2 linked regions of the Caenorhabditis elegans genome follow. The protein of the gene in region 1 purifies or fractionates together with the protein of each later gene. This does not show direct contact. Each region holds a gene or a part of one and is shown on either strand. Other genes may lie near its edges. The genes, in order: T24E12.13 and C39F7.5.

What was found.
Region 2: the proteins of T24E12.13 (region 1) and C39F7.5 fractionate together in Caenorhabditis elegans (co-fractionation; one large-scale study listed by BioGRID). This does not show direct contact.

The regions. Positions count from the first base shown.
Region 1 is NC_003280.10:3,783,963-3,792,326, reverse strand, and holds T24E12.13 (Coiled-coil domain containing 112), read right to left. Parts: upstream 4,877-8,364; 5' UTR 4,867-4,876; coding exon 4,731-4,866; intron 4,673-4,730; coding exon 4,361-4,672; intron 4,192-4,360; coding exon 4,084-4,191; intron 4,024-4,083; coding exon 3,848-4,023; 3' UTR 3,791-3,847; downstream 1-3,790. Other genes in the region: T24E12.1 (HMG box domain-containing protein), read right to left, coding at 5,797-5,963, 6,010-6,123, 6,181-6,531, 6,574-6,663, 6,710-6,752; T24E12.2 (uncharacterized protein), read right to left, coding at 8,171-8,364.
Region 2 is NC_003283.11:1,260,937-1,273,758, forward strand, and holds C39F7.5 (BACK domain-containing protein), read left to right. Parts: upstream 1-3,836; 5' UTR 3,837-3,858; coding exon 3,859-3,899; intron 3,900-3,947; coding exon 3,948-4,041; intron 4,042-5,097; coding exon 5,098-5,632; intron 5,633-6,197; coding exon 6,198-6,572; intron 6,573-7,804; coding exon 7,805-8,378; intron 8,379-8,640; coding exon 8,641-8,875; intron 8,876-8,933; coding exon 8,934-9,068; 3' UTR 9,069-9,224; downstream 9,225-12,822. Other genes in the region: C39F7.1 (uncharacterized protein), read left to right, coding at 878-1,372, 1,421-1,651; rab-1 (RAB family), read right to left, coding at 2,138-2,266, 2,315-2,515, 2,571-2,666, 2,720-2,767, 2,822-2,942, 2,998-3,020; Y75B7B.1 (DNA-directed RNA polymerase III subunit RPC4), read left to right, coding at 10,015-10,074, 10,129-10,387, 11,105-11,511, 11,562-11,867, 11,917-12,036.

The sequences.
Region 1 (8,364 bases):
CCAACCCTCTCAGCTTCTCCAACCATCAGCCATTTCAATTGCTGAACCTTCATTTTTTTCCGAAACTACAGTAATTCAACAGTAGAATACCTTGTCATTTTTATCCCACCAACCCCCATCTAAAAGTTCTGTTGCATTTAATATCTGATAAAATTTGAACTTTAATATCAATTAACAAAAAAAAATACAGAAAAAATCAAGGCCCAGAAATGTTTTGTGTAAATTCAGGATTTAGAAGAATATCGAAATTCAATAAGTTGCTCCTCAATCTGCTCTCGTTGCTCATCTCTCATCTGTACCCACATCTCTTTCCAATGCTCAGCCTCTTCATTTGGAAGCAACTCCCATCTTTGATCTGAATTTGATTAATTGAAAAAAAACTTTAAGGTTTGTGTACTTACGGTACACCTGAACAGGCCTCTGGTTGTTGAAGAGGGAACGAGGGTTCATCGCGCGCTTCACCGGCTGTGGAACCACTGGCTCACCGTTGGGGTTGAAGAGGTAGCAGTTGAGGTCTGAAACAGTTTGATACTTGAAGTATGAAGCTTTAACTCTATTCACCCAGATCCTCATTCGGAATCAGCTCTTCTTCGAAGTGTTCAGCCCAGAACTGCTTGGCATCATCGAATGTCTCAAATCTACGTGGAGCTGGGCCATCTTCTGGGTCTTCATCTGATTCTTCGTCTTCTGATTCTTCTTCCGATTCAACGTCGGAGTCGTCGAGCTCCACTTCTTCAGCTTTTTCTTCTTCTTTTTCATCGGCCTTGTAAGCATCGCTATCATGAACCTCCATGGCGTTTTCCTCATCTCTGAAGACAGGTTCAAGATTCTCTTGATCTTCTTCTTCAATGGCATCCACACAAATCTTCCGATTTTCGTTTACAGAGAAGATCACCTCAATCTCATCTGGATCAATTTCTATCACGTCCCTTTAGAAATTTGCGACTTCTGTTTCTTTAACAACTTCTTCATAGACAACGTCCTCCATCTCAACATCCGGTGAAGAAGTTTCTGCTGGAGAGTCCATGAATGCTGGAGCTTCCCGTTCGAGCTTTGGCATACTTTCTGAAATGAAAAGGAAATTTTTAAAGAAATTTTCAAAAATCAAAACTAACCAAAAAAACTGTCTTCCTTCATTTCTTCAATGCGTTGCTTTGCCACGGATAACTCTTCGCGAAGCCCTTGGATTGAAAACAAAACTCCTCTCAATCCGATTTTGAGGTCCGCATTTTGGCGTGTGACCAAGTTAAATTTGCTGGTGAGTTGTTGATTTTCTGAAACAAAAATTAAAAATTTTGTCACCATAGAAGCGGTAAGCGTTATCTAAAGCAGTGGTGGGCAGCAATTGCCGTTCGGCAAATTTTTTTGCCGATAAATTTGGTCTACTTTTTCAGAAGCTCAAACTCAATTTTCCTTTCCGCTTGCAGAATTAGGAAGTTTCTTTGGAGATTCTGGTAGTGCTCTGAAATTCTACTAACTTTTATAAAAGAAAACCATTTATCTAACCATGATAGAAATAATTTGGCGGAGGTTGTTGAAATAGTGGAGATGGTGCTGGATAGCCAAGGTTATAGCCGGGATGCTGATTTTGATGGTTCATTTTTTTTGCAAGTTGGTGGTCAAGTGAGAAGGTTCTATAAAAAGTATGATTAACTTTTCAAAATGGAAGAGTTTTCAAAGAAAGGAAATATTGTTCTGATACAAAAGTAGCAGATATTTACTACTTTCAAGTCAGAACAAACCTTACCTAGTAACACTTGGAGACAGGTTCTGACTCAAAAATTATTCGCAATCCTTTATTATAGTTCTGACGTACTAAACGAACATTGAAGGTTGTTTTAGCAGTAAATAGTGGTGACAAGATCAGAAGAGATATGCCAAATCAGAGCACAAATTTAAAAAAAAAAGATCTGGGGTAGCGTAGAGTACCAGAAAACAATTTTATATGATCAAGTATATTTGCAAAGTTTAAAACAAACTAGAGTGTTTAATTTTGGAGAAAACGATTTTTTTGGAATTTGAAAATTTATTGACAGCTAAAATTGGAATATCAGTTATTCGAAACTTCAAATTTGTTCGAAAAAATTTGAAATGTTTTTTTTAAATAATAAATTTGAGTTAATGGAGGCTAGCTTTTTTTTATTTTAAATTGTTTCCCCCAAAGTATTTTTTGAATGTGCCCTTTTATTTCACCGGCAAGAAAAAAAAAGTAAAAAACAATTATATGGTCCCCAAGTTAAATAGAAATGTATCCAAATAATTCAGATTCAAAAAAGATCCAACGTCAAGACAAATAAATTCTAAAAATACATATTAAATCAGAATAAAAAGTAGACAAATTGTAGATGTTAGCAGTGGTAAACAACACAAAATGATCAGATCAAACGTGCATTTCGTATTTTTTTAAATAATTGTGACAGAGGGGAAGCTTATGACTACTACATAGCGTGAGTTATAATATAATGTATGGCAAAAAAACAGAAGAAATTGAAAGCTTTTAAATTTTTTAAAACTGTAATACTTCCAAATATTAAATGTTGAGAAGAATATCTATAAGAAACAAAAATAAATAAATAAAACGGCGCAGCTCTCATATTTTGAAACATTTTTATAAGCGTTCACATTGGTGGAAAAAAACGAATAAAAATGTGAATTTCCATATTTTTGAGGGAATTCGTAATTTTTGAATAGATAGTTCAAAGATTTTCTGTACAGAATCTCACGTAGGAAATAGAAACTGAAAATGAGCAGCAATTGTATAGAGTGTATAGAGATTAGAAAAAGCTTGAATTGTTTAAAAAATGATTAGAGCTACTTTTAATTTGTCTAAGTTAGGCCTATTTGAGATGCGTCCAAACTAGAGCCTCTTATCAATTTTACCACAATCTTATTAGCCTCCAAATCTTTCAAAATATTGCTTTTTGACCCCTCGGAAACAAAAAAGTACAGGGAAAAAAATCGAAGACAAAAATAAAAGCCGACACACACTTCCCACTATACAATCGAGAGCCAGCTAGCAACGAACATTTTATCGATGTCGCACAAATTTGCATGACACCACGTACTTTTTTTTCGCCGATTGAAAGAGTTTATGATTTTGATTGTCGAGCAGGTCATAAAATGTCATAGTATATCATTTGGCGACAAGGTATGTGATTAACTTTTGTGTAGATATGGGTGTATATAATAAAAATTAGCATTGATTTTGTGGAAAACAATAATTTTAGGGTTGAAAAATAACTTGCAAAAACCATTTTAATTTTAATTATTACATAAAAAACTGTGAGTAGAACATGTGTTTTTTTTTTCAATACAATATTTTTGCAAGTGAATTCCAATGTCTCGAAAAACTATTATTTAAATTTAAAAAATACTTGAATACTACTACAAAAAACTACAAACAATCCAAACATTTTCGTAAATCAAACTATCAGCTAACATAAACTTTGAGAGACAGGTCACTCGAATAAAAAAGTCACCCCGTTCCAAAAAGTATACATGCAATACGATACATCACTTTGTTGCACAATCTATGATGAGCAGAACTCTGTCTAACCTGTGAAAAGTAGCAATGTTGCGTAATAGGTCGATTTGGCCGACTGCCAAGTCATCCACTAGGTGTACGGTAGAAGCCACCTGCCTGTTGTATGTTTTTGTTCGGAACCCTCTTAGCCTTGGCGCTGGTATGTTTTGTTTTAAGAAACGAGGCCATGAGAAAAACTATGCTAGTTCAAAGTTTAAAACTTCTTATCAGTAAAAGACGCTCAACTGATAAGGTGATAGAGGTGGTGATAATTAAAATTTATTCATAACTAAAATTTAAAATATAACAAAAAAGGGCTTATGTTCAATACATCTCCATTATTTCCTGTTTAATTGAGACTTTTCCAACTTTTTTCGGTTTTGAATCCGGAAACCTGATGAGCCCAGCGTTTCGTTGCTTCACTTGCTCGTCTTTCAACACGATCCACATTTTCTGCCACACTTCCTTTGTTTTTTCCGGTAGAGATTTCCAGTGTGGATCTGAAATTTGGGGGTACTTGTTGGTTATAAGAATTGCCCTCCTTTTAAAAAAAAACTTACTTATTTTGCATGGCCGTTGATTACCATACAAGGAGCAGCAATTTGGAGCCCTCATCACAATTTGTTTGACTTGCCCAATGTCCTTATTGAACAGGTAACATGTCAGATCTGAAATTGGTTGGAAAATAATGACTCTGCCATTTCGAACATAAAAATTTTTTTTTTAAATACTTTGATTTCAACAAAAACTGTAAATTGACAAAATGCGTAAAATATTGTTTTCTAGAACTTTCTAGTTAAAATTTTTTTGATGCATGCAAAAATCTCTCCTACTTACCCGTCTCGGGCCACTCTGGATTCATAATTTCTATGTTGTGATTTTCCTCCCAATACATTAAGGCCTCCTCGTAATTTTTCAAGTAAGGAGAAACTTCCTCAATAAAATGTTCTTCTCCCTGAGTTTTCATCGGAGCAACTCCCGAGAAGCACGGCGAGATGGGGGAAATTGCGGCGAAGGAGCTTGTTTGAGCCACGGTAGGGATGCTCAAGCTGAGTTGGGCTTGGTTGGCTCTGAGAGCTTGAAGATCCTGTTCTTGGCTCTTGATTTTCATTTTTAATTCTATATTTTCATTTTGCAGGCGATGGGTGACTGGAAAAAGTAAAATTAAGAATAAGGCCCAGCTGAAACAAACAAATAAAAAACTAACAATGCTCATAATCGTAGATTACATTAAGCTGCTCTAGCACCTTATTGTAGAGCTCCTGGTTGAGAGCTTGAAGTTCAGTCAATTGGGAAGGTAAGTCTGATGGTTGATTGACTGAATAATTAGACATATCTGGCATGATCTGAAACAGAAATTGAAGGAAAAAACTTAAAATTATATAGGTTAAGAGTCACAGAAAAAATCAGAGTTGCAAAACAAATCATCAAAATGACACACGAGGCCCGACAAATATGGACCATATGAGCACACAGCCCGCCAAAAGACACATGCTGAGCAACAGAGTGTCTGCCGCAGAAATTGGGCGGGATTGACTAGAGAAGGGGTGCATCTGTTGATGTTTCTTGTCAAGAATGACCCAAACAGCCTAATAGGTTCATAAGATCGAAAATGTGGGAAAAGTTCAAATTTTGAAGAAGGCGGATGAGAGGCGTTTTCGTAACGCCTCTTTTTCAATCTGACCAGGTGGCATATCTTCATCTGAAAATAATCGATATTTATTGGATCTTCAGAGTTGTAAAATAGCTGTGATTTTATAGATGCCAACTTTCATTTAGTGGTAATTGTTGCTCCGGGGATCTCTCTAGCTACTTACTCATTGGCGGTGTTCCAAGTTAGGCTTAGTCTTTGTCTTAGTCATAGTCTTGAAATCGGACTTAGGCTAAGAGTTATGCTTATTTTCATTTGATCTAGTGTTATTCGATAGAAAACATAAAAATCCCATTACTCGCAATTTTTCAACCTCTATCTTCACACTTCATTTCCATTTAAAACGTCATTCCATTGCACTCTATCATTATCACTTTTCACATGACATTTTCTTTCACTCGTAAACGAGCAAATAATGAGGTGATTACAATATAGTTATGAGGTGATAAGGGCGTATGTGTGTGATAAGGGTAATGAATTCAATTTATTGATAACAAATATGAGATATGTAAATTAACCAATAAATGAAATATGAGGAACAGAAGGGAAATAGTCAAAAATAATCGAATATTGGAATTACTTGAGATCATATTATCAACTGATACATAAATAAAAATTGGGCTTATTCTTCATAATCTTCGGGCTCCTGTTTGATATTCACTTTTCCGATCAGGCCCTTGAAATGGATCAAGCCATTCTCGGCTTGCCTATTCTGCTCGGCTCTCACTTTCTTCCCCATTTCAGCCCAAATTTCCTTTTTCTTTTTACTCAATCTAAGCCAAGGTTCATCTGAAATTACTTCTCGTTTAATTCAATATGAACTAGATAAACTCACAGCGACCTTCTTCAGACTTTCTCTGATTCTGGTACAAACTGTATCCATTAGCGGGTCGCTTCTTGAACTGCGGTACGTGAGGGATTTCTGGGTCGAAGAGGCAGCAGCGCAGATCTGGAAATTTTTTATTTAGAATTTATAAAATCTACAAAGAAAAGGCAGCTTTCTCACCAGTCTCTGGATCATTTGGCAGCAAGATCGGCTCATTGTGATGCTCCTCCCAGAACTTCTTGGCGTCAGCGAAGGATCGGAAGCTTCTGCCGGCTTTCGGGACCAGAACGTCTTTCTCATATACAACGGCATCGAGGTCTTCTGGCTCCTCCGAGGACTTCTCCAGACACGTCGACGAGCTCGGTGAGCTGGATGAGATCCCAGATTCCGGAGAGTTCATGTTGACTTTTGACACGGGACTATTCGGCTGACGGAGAGCTTGCACCTCTGCCTTGAGCTGTTTGAGCTCCTGGGTTTGAGCTCGGACCGTTGCCTCCAAGGAGAAAATACGCCTGGCCTGAGTGTGCCTGCCTGAAAAATTTAAATGAAATTAGAGGAACCCGGAGCACTTACACTGCTCATAGTCTTGAATATTGATGAAGGCAGAGATCAGTTTGCTGTGGAGTTCGGAGTTGAGAGATTGGAGTGCGGCTCCATTGGAATCTGAAAATAAGGATTATAAAAAAAGAATAATAGTGCCAAAGGGTACCTGAAACTAAATCGGCAGAGGAAGTAGACGGAAACTGGGACATTTCCTTCAGCCTTTAAATCTGAAATTTAATTTTAAAAAAATCGGGAAAAGACACAGCTTTTTGTGCGCGTATATCTCCGTCACCACTGAAGTTATCAAAAAAGTGAAAACAACAAAACTGATTAAATTTTCCTGCTCCACAGTTTTGCAGTTAACAAAAATTTAAAATCGTTAATGATGACCGAGATATTCAGCAAAAACCAAAAAAAAAGGCCCACAAAAAACCCAAAAAAAAAATCGATTCCAAAAGAGCGGAAGAGGCCATCTCCACAGAGAAATAGAAGGGCAACACAAAGAACGTGGGAAATCGTGCATAGCCGGTGGTTGTAGAGCGGGAGAGACAACATTGGTACCTGGGGAAGAGGTCACTGGAGGTCAAAGGGTGACTAGTAAGAGACGGAAAACAGTAGGAGAAGGTGTAGGAAGATGGGGGAAATCTGCGAAACTTTTAACTAGCAACTGGAAATTTATACAAAATTCCAAGTTTTCAGACAATTTCAGACATTTTCTGAAATCTCAACGATCTTTTTCAGCACGGTTTTTAACTTTAATTTATGAAAATTGTCTTGAAGCTGATTGCACAAATTTTGAAAAAATCTGAAATGTAAAAAACCAAAGATAATTTGGTGGTCGATGTTTTTGGTTTTCTAGGCCATCTAATCTGCTGCTAGGGCTTGAGGAGGGCTAGTAAGGAGCCGCATTTTGCCTCGGCCGAGTAGAACACTGTGCTGCAGGAAATGAAAAAGTTCAAACAACGAAAAACTTATGCAACAATTTACAAGTTTCCAGTTATCCTCAATTTATATATTTTTAGCATAATTGTCACCTAGAGCTCCGTCATCATAAACCACACATTTTTGTCGCCGAAAAGTTTAAAAACCAAAAATAATAATAGCTCTTTCTCTCACAGATTAGTAGTGGATGTTTAAAAAATCTGAACTTACGAAAAATGCAAAATTCAAAATTATCGCTGTTTCCAGTTACCTATACTAATTAGTTTTTAGAGTTTAATTTTCCATTGTCATTTGGTTTGAAACAAGCATATTTATATTAATTCATACTTTTAGTATCAATTAAAAAATAATATAAATATTCTAGTCTTATACCGTCTGTCATAGGCTCCCCGCACACACCAGGGGCTCACCTTTTCCTTCTTCACTGCCGCACGCCAGCTGCCTCTCCTTGCGGTTATTCTTGAATAATTTTTATGAGGGCACTTAAATGATAGTTATAGATGCTCTCATTTTGATGGAGAACAAAGAACCAAACATTTTGAAAATAGGTGTTTAAAAGAGAAGTCTCAAAACCCTTGAAGCTGAAAAGTTTCAGACAATTTCTAACATTGGCCTAAATTTTGTTAATGAGCATGAGGAATATTTTTTTATTAGGTTAAAATTAAAAATTGAAAATATCGTTCAATTATTTATCATCTCTCTTCTCCTTCTTCCCATTTTGCTCCCTTGCTTTGTAATTTTTCCGTTTTCTAACGTTATTCTTCAACTTCCGCTCCAACACAATTAATCCCAGCTGGACCTGATGCGCCTGAATATCCTTCAACTGTCTCCAAACTTTCGCCCAGTCTTCTTTATCTTCCGAACGAATTTTTGGCCAAG
Region 2 (12,822 bases), on another chromosome or scaffold:
ATTCAATGAGGAAGACCAGAACCCCGGGATTAGCCTGGAAAATGTTCTCCTCGAGGAGTACACGAGCTGCGTAAATCGACACATATATCTATAGATGCGTTTTTTTTTGATTTTTGACTCAAAAAGGTAAAAACCGAAAATTTAGAAAGAAGTGTGCGCCTTTAAAAAGTACAGTAGTCTCGAAATCTTGCACTTTTCCTATTTTCAGATGTTTTTTGTATTACTTGAATACAATTTTTTCTGAAAATGTGTATTTCGCAACATATTTGACGCGCAAAATATCTCATAGCGAAAATTACAGTAATTCTTTAAATGGATACTGTAGCGCAGGTGTCGATTCACGGGCTCGATTCTATTTTCGTTCATTTTTTCGTATTAATTAAATTTAATTTAAAAAAAAAAAAAAAACGAGCCCGTAAATCGACACCAGCGCTACAGTATCCATTTAAAGAATTACTGTAGTTTTCGCCACGAGATATTTTGAGCTTTAAATATGTTACGCAATACGCAGACTTCTCAAAATTTTGTGTTCCCATAGTATATGACTTTATAATTTTATCAATTTTCACAAAAAAAACTTTAAATTTTTAAAAGAAACAAGAAAAAATTAAAGAAGCCGAAGCTGATTGCGAAATAGCTATACTTTTTAAAGGCGCATGCATCGTTTCATAAAATATAATTTTTTTAAATCGTGTCGAGACCGGTTACCGTACTTTTGCGTCGAAAATTACAACATTTCGCTATTGGATAATAGGACTTGAAAGGCAACCACCTAAAATTTTAGCTAAAATCGGGGGAAAAAAAACGAGATTTTCTGATTTTCCCAGAAAAAATCTCGACTTTAGATCAAAAATATTTTTTTTATTACAAGTTTCAGTTTCAGTCTCCAATGTGGCTCATGGAGGCGTGTGTCAATCCAACAACTGCCGGCTCACGAAAATGGCTAACAGAATTTCTGCCGATGGCTGCTCAGCTTCTTCTCGCCGACCGGCCGGCCTACATAATTGTTCGAAATTCGTGGAATCCCACACCGTTCGACCATTATCCATCGAGACCTGCCACGTCTATTCTGACGACGAGTGCCGGTAACGACAACAGCATCTACGTTTCAACGGATGCAAAGATCTGGACAAGTCAAGAGATCCGAGCCACCGTCGAGGACTGTGACTTTGCATCCGGAAACATGTGGTTCTACATCGGAGCTCCACGAAGTTCCGACGAACTTTTCGAAAATGTAATCGATCCACTGTTGCAGTGGAATCGTGCACCATCTGGCAGTGGTGAACTTATTGGGAGTGCCGAAGACGCGTTGGCACTGCTGCATTGGAATGCTGCAGGAGAAGTCGCCGTGCTTGGAGCTCGAGAGCTGAAGGTATAAAGGATCTTTGACTGCACCACACTTATACATGCTTCATTGCAGAAGTTGGCTAGCCGTCTCGGGATTGTTATCGAGAATGAAGACGCGATGGTTATCGACTGTCTCGAGGAGGACTTCTCTTCCAATGCCGCCACCGCCACATCCTCGGACGAACCAGAGGTGCCACGTAGAATTCCGATATTCGATATGTTCTGGGTCGGCATCGCGTTAATTATCCTCCAATTGTTGTACTTGTTATCGAAATTCGACTTTTTCCGGGAATGGTTCGCCTAAAGATAATTGATAAATAAAAACTAAAACAGAAGCACAATAAAATTCACATTTAAGTTTATGGATAGGGCTTAGACAAAAAAAAGAGGGAAGCAAATATATAAAACTCTTTTTGAAGGGGGTGATTTGGGTGGTGGATAGGGGGAAAGGATATTTTTTCACAACACAAATTATCTATTTTCGCGGAGAAAAAGCGTAAAATCGTGGGGATGTACATTCACACAGACACACACATTCAAAAAAGAAAATAATTTAGGTTACGACGTGAATTTGGGGGTGGGTGAAGGAATTTTTTATAAGGGGAGAGAAAAGACAGCAGAAGAAAAAGAAGTGAAAATCAAAAAAAAATTACATTAGATAAAATTTAGAGTGATAGGAAGAGGGGTTGCATTAGAAAATTTTCAGTGGAAAGAAACAAAAAAATACGACTAAGAGCTTGATGGTGAAAGAGTGCCGAAGAGGGGGGTATCACAGAGATTATCGTTTCGATTAACAACATCCACCGCTCTTCTTGTCTTGAACCGGTTGACTTCCCGTGATACGCACACCTGGAGCACCTCCGGCTCCTTGAACTGGTCCCATACGTGATTTGATTTCCGAAGCCATGGTAAGGAAGGCCTGAAATGTGATTTTATTTTTTTAAAAATCATTTTTAGCCCAACAAACCTGTTCAACATTCGTCGATGACTTGGCGGATGTCTCGAGGAACGGGATTCCGAGTTGTCCAGCATAATCCTGGGCAGCTTGAGTCTCCACAGCTCTCTTCGCTGTCAAATCGCATTTGTTTCCGACCAACAGCTTGTTGACGTTCTCACATGCGTACCTATCGATTTCCTGAAGCCACTGCTTCACGTTGTTGAATGTCTCCTGAAAAATGCTCATAATATTTATTGTTATAAGCTTTTTAGGAAAATAAACTAACTTGGTCAGTGATATCGTAGACAACGATAATTCCGTGAGCTCCGCGGTAGTAGCTCGATGTAATTGTGCGGAAACGTTCCTGACCAGCAGTGTCCCACTGAAAAATAACTGTTTTAAAACGAATTCGCCATTTTATTTGGTTAAACTCACGATTTGAAGCTTGATAGTTTTGCCGTCGAGCTCAATAGTACGGATTTTCTGAAAATTACAAAATCATAATAAATAATTTCGACGGAAATACTGAAAACTTACAAAGTCAACTCCGATAGTGGAGATGTATGATTCAGTGTATGTGTCATCGGCGAAACGCAGCAACAGGCACGATTTTCCGACGCCAGAATCTCCGATGAGGAGGAGTTTGAAGAGGTAGTCGCTGAAATTGGGAAAAAAATTGTTAGAAACCGAATATTCTTCTGCCGCAAACTCACTATTCAGGGTTCATTGCTGCCATCTCCTTTTTGTCGATCTGATAAATTGGAACCCCCTGAAAAATTATAAATTGCGAATTGAATAAAGCATGAGGAATCGATGCGAGAATGAGGAAAATGAGTGTCAAAAAGGATTGCGAAAGTAAAGATGAGAACGGTGACAAATCATATGACAAATCGGTCAGCAACAGGAGACAACGTGTATAATTTATTGATCGCGGTGCGGTTTGTAAACAAAAGAGAAAGCAACGAGAGAAAACCGGTTTTATCCAGACGAACAGTGCAAGAAAACCTGACTCTTTTATCAGTAAAAGAATTTTTCCTGAAAGGAAAAATTCTAAAATTCCACCGGATCAGTTTACAGACTCCAAAGCTAGAAAATATTTCGCAAGACTTTTTTATCGATAAAAATTACTTTTTCGGCATAATTTCGACTCTGATCACGCCAATAGGCAGATATTAACATCAGAAACACAATAAAGAACGTCTGGAAGCTTTTAAAAAGTCGAAAAATGGATAAAATTAGCCAGGAAAAGCTGTGGAATCGGGAGAAATGACGTGGCGAGGCAGAGAGATGAATACCCCGTGACTGCGGAGCGGCTGCGGCGCAACGCGTGCGATGGGGCGCACATGCATTATTGAAATAAAAACATGTTTTTATTGAATTTATTTGATCGAAAATACATACCTATAAATATATAAATAATATATAATATAAATATATAAATAATACGAATTTTATCTAATTTTCTGAATATCTGAAAGCATAAAAAGAACTTCACTATTTGAAGATCCTTTCCAATCTAGGAAATAATCAGATTAATCTATTGATTTTGCAGATTTTTTCCACAGAAGCTACATATGGGAGTGAATTCTTCACAAGTTGCACAAGATAGATTAAGGTGCGTAGTAAAAAATAAAAATAATTTATGGAAATTTTAAACTTTTAGTCTCACTTCTACCAGTCAAAACTCCCCGAGAAACGGTTTGCGGAGCGCTCGAAATGTGTTGAGAGCAACTTCGCGACTCAAGTTTTCGTTCAAAGTAAGTTTTAAGCACTCTGAAAATATCAAAAACGGATTTTAAAATCCGAAAATACGATATCCGGTCTCGACACGACAAACTTTTGTTAAATGCAAATTAAGTGTGTGCGTGCGCCTTTAAATCCAACTGTAAAAACTTCAAACTTTCGTTTTTTTCCATCAATTATATATTACGGGAACACAAAATTATGAGAATGCGTATTGTGCAACATATTTGACGCGCAAAATATCTCGCAGCGAAAACTACAGTAATTCTTTAAATGGATTGTGTAGCGCTGGTGTCGATTTACAGAAATCATTAATTAATCGATAAAATATTAAAAAAAAACACAAAAATGACAAAAAAAAATCATTGAAGTTGAAAAAAAATCGTTTTTAATTTTTAAAACTGTAGTTTTCGCTACGAGATATTTTGCGCGTCAAATATATATTGTGTAATGCGCATTTTTAGAATTTCGTGGTCTCGTAGCGAAAATTACAGTAATGACTTGTGTCGATTTACGGGAGCGATGTTTGAAATTAATTTCTTCTAGTGACAGCGAAATTATTTTCCAATTTTTTGCTTAATTTCGAAATTCATTTCAAAAATCGAGATCCCGTAAATCGACACAAGCGCTAGAGTAGTCATTTAAAGGATTACTGTAGTTTTCGCTACGAGATATTTTGCGCGTCAAATATGTTGTTTCGTTCCCATAATGTATAGTTTGAAGTTACAGTACTAGTTAAAGGCGCACACATTATCGCATTTGGCAAAATATTTGTCGTGTCGAGACCGTCCAACTTCCGCGTCACCAGGAGTACTGGCTTTCCTCATTTAATTTTTTGCGCTCCATTGACAATCGTCCGCCGGACAACGCGTGGAAAAGTGTTGTGTACTCCACACAACGAAAATCGAGCCGCGACGCGACACGCAACGCGCCGTAAATCTACCCAAGATATGGACGAGCCAAAATGGCCTAGTTCGGCGCAAACTCTTCCATTTCAATTTTTAAGTTAAGCCAGAACCGCGTGGCGTCGGGATAAATAAATTAAATAATAAACGACAAATCTTTTGCAGAGAAAATCTTCCACTCGAGACCAAATCCGACCGTTCGAGGAACTCATCAAAAGTTGGCCAGTTCAAGATCTCAACCTTCTTCTAGCAGAATTTGAAGCCGATTCGAAGCTACTCGAGTTTCAGCGACTATGTGATAATTCAAGAAAACCGACAAATTCTTTCCTCAGAGACTTCGAGAGCGGGAGAACCGTGTCAGGAAATCTGAATATCTTATTCAAATTCACCTCAATTCGCGCTAACCGCGCATTCGTTTCTCAAAGATGTACAAATCTCAAAATCTCGGCAAACTACGATGAGAACCCGGAAAACTTTGATTTGTGCGAGCAAAAATTTTTGAAATTCGAACAAGACGCGGTCGAGATATTCTTGAAATCGTACATTTATAACGAACAATGGCCGGAAAACTTGGGAAGTGAGATGCTCGAACAACTGTGCACAGATTTTGGATGTTTTAAGAAACTTGAAGAAGATGTGAAGCATATGTACAAGCAGGATCTGAAGCATGGCGACTTGATAATTGAAGTTGTCGACGGAAGTGAGTAGAATAGTTTTTTAGTTTCTTAGCCTTGGGCTTAGGCTTAGGCTTATCAATAGGCTTAAGCACGGGACTATGTTTAGGTTTAGGCTTAGGCTTAGGATTAGGCCCAGGCTCAGGCTTAGGCTTAGGTATAGGCTTAGGCTTAAACTTAGGCGTATGCTTATGCTAAGGAGAAGGCTCAGAACTCAAAGACTTAGGCTTAGGCTTAGGCCTAGGGCCAGGCTTAGGCTTAGGACTAGGGCCGGGCTTAGGCTTATGCTTACAACTAGGCTCAGGCTCAGGCTCAGGCTTTGGCTTTGGCTTAGAGTTAGGCACAGGCGTAGGCTTAGGCTTAGCTTTAGGCTTAGGCTCAGGGTTAAGCTGGGAATAAAAAAGAAAAAAGAAACTCAGAAAATTCAAGAACTCAGGAAAATTTAAAAAAATCTGAAAAATGAGACATTCCAAGATCGGGCAAAATACCATTAAAAAATTCGATAAAAAGTGCCAAAAAAAGCAATAGGTTCGAAAAAAAAGAACAAAAAAGCTAATTACTTTACAAAAAATCTAAATGCAATTATTTCAGAAAACACCGAAGAAAACAGCGAGAGCTTCAAAATTCGATGCTCTTCTCTAATCGCTGCTTCACGAAGTAAAATCATACGATCGTTACTGCTGAGAAAGTTGACTGAGAAAAATGAAGGAAGTTCGACAAGTCGTCCCAAACGAATTGTCTTCTCTGAACTAATATTCCCACAAGCATTCGCTCCGATATTTGTCTCATTTCTGTACACTGATCGACTGGATTGGAGTTTGGCGCCAAAATCCGAAGACTCTATATCTTCGTTATCACAAGCCAAAGCTATAACGAATAGTGGTAGAACTCCGGATTTACAACTGGCTAGAGCTCTGCAATTAATTGAGATTGCACGGTTTTTCGAAGTCGAACAGTTGGTTCAAGGTATCTATTTTACTTAAACGATCGATCCGCGAATCAGGGATGGGCGGCAATCGCCGTTTCACGTGGTGCCAGACAATACCATTACGGTTTGATCTACAAAAAATGCGGGAATTTTTTCCACAAAAAATGTGACGTCAGAACGTTCTTAACCATGCAAAATCAGTTGAGAACTCTGCGTCTCTTCTCCCGCATTTTTTGTAGATCTAAATAGATCAAACCAAAATGGGACACTTTGACACCACGTGCCGTTTGGCAGTTCTTTTGTAGACAAATTCGGCGAATTGCCGGTTTGCCGATTTGCTAGAAATTTTCAATTCCGGCAGTTTGCAATTTGCCGGTTTGCCGGAAATGTTTCGGCAAGTTGCTTTTTTCGGAATATGTATAGTTTTCTTTAGATAAGTTGATATAACTTGCTTACTTTCCAAAATATGTGTAGGAACATTCGTAGGATTTGCAATTTGCCGGTTTGCCGAAATGTTCAATACCGGAATTTTCCAGATTTGCTGGAAATTTTAAATTCTGGCAAATTGCCGGTTTGCCGATTTGCCGGAGATTGCAATTCCGGCAATTTGCTGATTTACCGGAATTATTCGTTCGCCGCCCACCCGCGCCGTGAATTTTGCAAAAAAAAGTAGCGTCGCAGAGAAAAAGAGGCGGAGCGTATTTTTGCAGTCCTACGGCACGGTTTTTTGCTTGGGATAATTTTGGGGGTCCCAATCGGGGGGCCCACAAAACCTTGCGGAAATTCAAATTTGCAACTGCCGCACGGTCTCGAAAAACAGAAGCTGCTCGATGTTAGGGATTGGGAGACTTAGAGAAAAATTAACTGTGCGGAGGTTGCAAAATTGAATTTCCGCACGGTTCTATGATTTCCGGCAAACCGGCAAACAGCAAATTGCCGAAATTGAGAATTTTCGACAAATCGGCAAACTGGCAATTTGCCAAATTTGTCTACAAAAGAACTGCCGAACGGCACGTGGTGTCAGAGTGTCTTATTTCGGCTTGATCTACGCAGATCTACAAAAAATGCGGGAGAAGAGACACAGAGTTCTCAACTGATTTCGCACGGTTAACAACGTGCTGAAGTCACCTTTTTTTGGGAAAAAAATACCCGCATTTTTTGTAGATCAAACCGTAATGGCATTACGTGTGGGCGTGGTCAATTCCTCGATCGGGTTCCCCCGATTAACCGGTTTTCTGGTATCCCAGCTAGCTAACTCATTACATTACAGCTTGCGAAGATGTTGTCGTCAAGAATCTCTCATGTGACAATGTGGTTGGCATTCTTCAATGGGGCCGAGCTAACAACTCGAAGTACATCTCGACTCACGCATTTCGGTTCATAGAGCGTGATTTTCTGAAAATTGCCGCATCAAGCTGTTTTTTCGAGCTCACTTCCAATGAGATGACAGAGATCACACAGAGTCAGTTCCTTCAAACTACCGAACTGGACCTTCTCGACGCTTGCTGTCGATGGGGTGAACACGCTCTTCTAAAGAAAATGGAAGACCGCGAGCCGAACTTAGTGGCAGACACATGCCACTCTATAAGTCGACGAGGCCTGAAAAAGTCTGAGAAGTCTGGAGACGAGCTTAAAGAGATTTTGAAACCTCTAGCGGATAATATAAGGAAAGACTATTCGCTACCACCATTCCATCAAGACTTGACAAATGCCTATAACAAGGGGATCCTGGAGCAGTCTCCGTTGGGACAGGATCTAGTTGTATGTGCATCAACTTCAGAGATTAACCCAGATGTTCATTGGCTGAAGCCAGAAGATGAAAGTACCGGACCAAGATATTACAGGTTTGTAATAAATTCAATAATAAAATTGTTTTACTAGTAGTAGTAGTAGTAGTAGTAGTAGTAGTAGTAGTAGTAGTAGTAGTAGTAGTAGTAGGGCTAACAGCTCCGCGTGTGCAATGAATTGCGAAAGGTAGTTATTTGAAGCGGCCGACACGTTCGGTGCTCCGCGCCGCTCTATACATTCGGCTACATGCGGCTTGAGTGACGCCGTGAGGCCGGCGCGGCGACCTCATTGGAGCCCCAACTAATGGTAAGTTTTCAGACCTTATCACACTGCTCTACTGAAACATCGAAACATCAAAGATCCTTCCTGGTTTGGGAAATTGCTCGTTACGGACACCAATGCACCATGCTCATTGGAATTCACAAATCTATACCCGGATATATTAAGCGGCGAGTTGTTCAACAAAGTGAAGGTTCTAGTTTTGAATAGAACGGAGGATCCTGATTTCACAAGTCTGTTACGGAATTATCATAGGAGAGTGGCGTTAGAAATGGTGAGAAGATTTATTTAAAAAATTGATGTAGCATAACAAATAAAACAACATTTTACAGATAATACGGCGAACACTAATTGAGCTCGACATTCCCGAGGAATGCATATCCTGCCACCTTTTGCCGGAGGACACTTCCAATAAACCAAGCACGCCTCCCGATGTGCTATCACCAGGATGCAAGGAAATTTTCTAATTTTTTTTACTCGTCATATTGGAAACGGGTTTTTTTTCATAATTACGGATGTCAAGATATTCTATAGTACAAACAGATTTATAAATATGCCCGTAAAGCCATTTTATTCTTCTTTATTTATTTATTTGAATGTTATGAACACAATTTCACAGCTGGCTATAACCAGTTTCAGGCTTAGTTTTAGGCTTAGACTTAGGGTTAGACTCAGTCTTGGGCTTAGGCTTAGGCTTAGACTAAGACTTCGGCCTAGGCTTAGGCTCAGGACCAGGCTTAGGCTCAGGCGTAGGTTTTGAAATAGGCTTAGGCCTAGACTTAGGCTTATGCTTAGGCTTTTAGGTTAATCTTAGACGTAGGCTTAGGCTTAGTATTAGACTTATGCGTAGGCTTAGTCTTAGACTTAGGCTTATGCCTAGGCTTTCGCTTAGGTTTAGTCTAACGCTTACGCTTAGGCGTAGGTGTAGTCCTAGGCGTAGGCTCAGGCATATGCTTATGTTTAGACTTAGGATTAAGCTTAGGTCTAGTCTTAGTCTTAGGCTTAGTCTTAGGCTTAGGCTGGGCGGAAATTAAAAAAAAATAAATATAGAAATTCTTGGAAAAATGCAAAAATTACACAATCCCAAAAAAATCTGAAAACAGCAGAACCCTGTGCCCAGAAACAAGGAAAAAAGCGAAAAAAAAACACGAAAAATGAAACATTCCAAAGTCGGCAAAAAATGAAAAATTGAAAAAATTGTCCGGCACATGTCCAAAAAAGCAACAGATCCAAAAAATAGTGACAAAACATAAGACTCTGACTCTAAAAAGATTTCACGTGAATTATCTTATATTTTCAAAAAAAAAACCACGGTATCCACGTGGGTTATTGGAAAACGTTCGAACTTGCACATTTAATTAACTTTCAAATTTATTCCTATTTTAGTTTTCCATCATCTTAGCTGCTAAGAATATGGGACTGTTTTCCAAAGGAGGCTTTAAAAGAAAAGCGCAAAAAAAGAACATTAAAATAGTGAGTTTTCATTTTTTTTCTCGTCTGTTTACAGAATAATCATTACCTTTTTAGAAGAAAAAATCTGAGGCGAAAAGCAACAAACCCCGTCCAAAGTCAAACCGTACCTCTTCTGGTAAAATACCGAGTAAATCAAGTACACCGCTGAAGGAAAGAGGCTTGACAGTAGAGCAGGAGCAGCAGAAAAAGAAGAAAACTTCGGAAAATACAAGAACTGAAGATTTTCGAGAACAAGAGGAAGATGCTGTGAACGAGGAAGCTGATGCAAAACCGTCGAAAAAGGCCCGCGGAAAATCATCCAGGCGTAGAGAAGGTAGTTTTATTACGGAATACACCATATTTTCATACAAATAATACTCTGATGGGGAATGTTGCGCCAAAAAATATACATTGTCTGATGATTTTCCGCTTTTGAACCGCAACTTCGATGTTGGACTTCGACAGGCCACATTATCTTATTCTTAACTTTTATAGATTACGGAAATTACAGTACTTTTTTTAAAGAGAATTACACTTTTTGCATTCAAGATAAAACTATGTATACCATTTTTAGAGCAGAATTACGAAATTTCGTAATTTTGCGGTTTACGTGGCAATCTCTCCTTTTTATCATTAGTGCTCAGTTTTATTCGAACTGCAAAGTTCACGTTATCCGAATATATTTCGAAAATCCAGTAGTTTTTATGCATTTCTTTTTCAACAACACGATGAAATAATATTATAGAAAAAATGCTACTTTTGTAGAACTTTGTAGTAGATCACCCTTTGACGCTAAGAATGAGAATATTATATCATTGCGAAACTTTGCCATTCTGCCTTAAAAAGGGTATACGGTCTCGCCACGAAAATTTTATTTTGAATGAAGAGTACTGTAATTCCCGTCTTCTATAAAAGTTAGGAATTCGACATAAAAGTTTTGGTTTAAAAACTAAAATTTTTTTGGGCGCAACATTTATTATCAGAGTAATATTTGTATGAATTTATTTTTAACAAAACTTTATAGTATAATCTAAATTGAGCATATTTCCAGGCCTAGTTCCCACTCCGATTGGTCAAGATCTGAACGTTGAAGTTACCAGCAGAGGTATTGACGATACTGAAATGAAGCGAGTTGTCGAAAAGTTCAAGCTAGAAAAGAAGAATGCCACTCCAATCACTGCACCAATCGATGAAAAATCAAAACTATTGATGGACAGACTTCCAACAAAGAAACCCTGTCCTGTACAGAAAGATAATGGAATGGATGAAGCATCTTCTTTCTACACAAAGCCGAAGGAAGCAAAGAAGAAATCAGAAGTATCAGTTTTCTTGAATATGGATGATTATGACCAATTTCCAAAGTTGGCTGATGTTCTGATGATGTCCCCATATAATGTGTTCAATGCAGATGGAGTTCCATTTTGGGCTGTGAATCCTGAGCCAAATGATGAAGATTTGGTAAGCTCATGTAAATAAATGATATTTTTTCAATAATCCATATGATTTAGAAGACTACAGCACCAATAATCTCCGTTGGAAGTGAGCATTTGGAGTTGTATCACGACAAAAAGATCACTCTTCAAACCATCGAGAACACACAGCTTATGCTCAATGAGCTTCAACCATTGACGGAATTGATGAAACGAGATGAGATTCACTTCACGCCTCAACTTGTCTTTTCCAATACTCTACGATCCATTGTCAATCCACAACAAATGGAGGAGAAACAACGGAGCGGAAGTATATCGGATGAAAGCCAAAAGCCGGGCAAGCTGGTCTTTGATATTGAGAAAGTAGAGGAGTATGTCTACTCGGTAATTATTTTAGTTTCTTCAGTTGAATTTCACTGTAGAAAATTTTCAGAGAAGCAATCCAATTGAGTCTGCGAAAATGCTGCTTCAGGAGAGGAAATTGAGCAACGTCCAAACGACAACTACAAGTACTGCTGCAGCAACTTCCAACAGTTGTGACGAACCTCTTTGATCTGAATGTCTCCTTTCTTTTACTTACTTTCAATGAACTTCTTGGTGTCTCTGAATAAATTTGCTTTCGAATTTGGGGTTTAGGGGTCGCCGGAAATTCTCAATTCTGGTAAATAGGCGATAAAATAAACTTCTGTACAAGCTAGCATACTTTGTTTGGCCTTTTCTGGTATATTTGGTTAGGCTGAACAGTTTTTTGAAACAAAAAAGAATGACTTCATATGATTTTCCCATACTTTTGAATTTTTGAAAAAATCAGCTTTTATATATTTTTATCAATTGGTATTTTCTAGTATATTTGAACATTTTGAACAGTTTTTTGAAATAAAAAAAAATGACTTCATATGATTTTGATTTTGATTTGATTTTTTTTTCGATTCCGGCAATTTTCCGATTTCCGGATATTTTAAATTCTGGCAAATTGCCCATTTGCCCAAAATTTTCAATTCTGGCAAATTACCGATTTGCCGGAAATTTTCAATTCTGGCAAATTGCCGATTTGCCGAAAATTTTCAATTCTGTCAAATTACCGATTTTCCGGAAGTTCTCAATTCTGGCAAATTACCGATTTGCCCGAAATTTTAAATTCTGGCAAATTGCCGATTTGCCGGATATTTAAGTTTAGGAAATGTGCCGATTTGCGGAAAATTTCGATTCCGGCAATTTTCCGATTTCCGGAAATTTTAAATTCTGGCAAATTGCCGATTTGCCGAAAATTTTCAATTCTGGCAAATTACCGATTTGCCGGAAATTTTCAATTCTGGCAAATTGCCGATTTGCCGAAAAT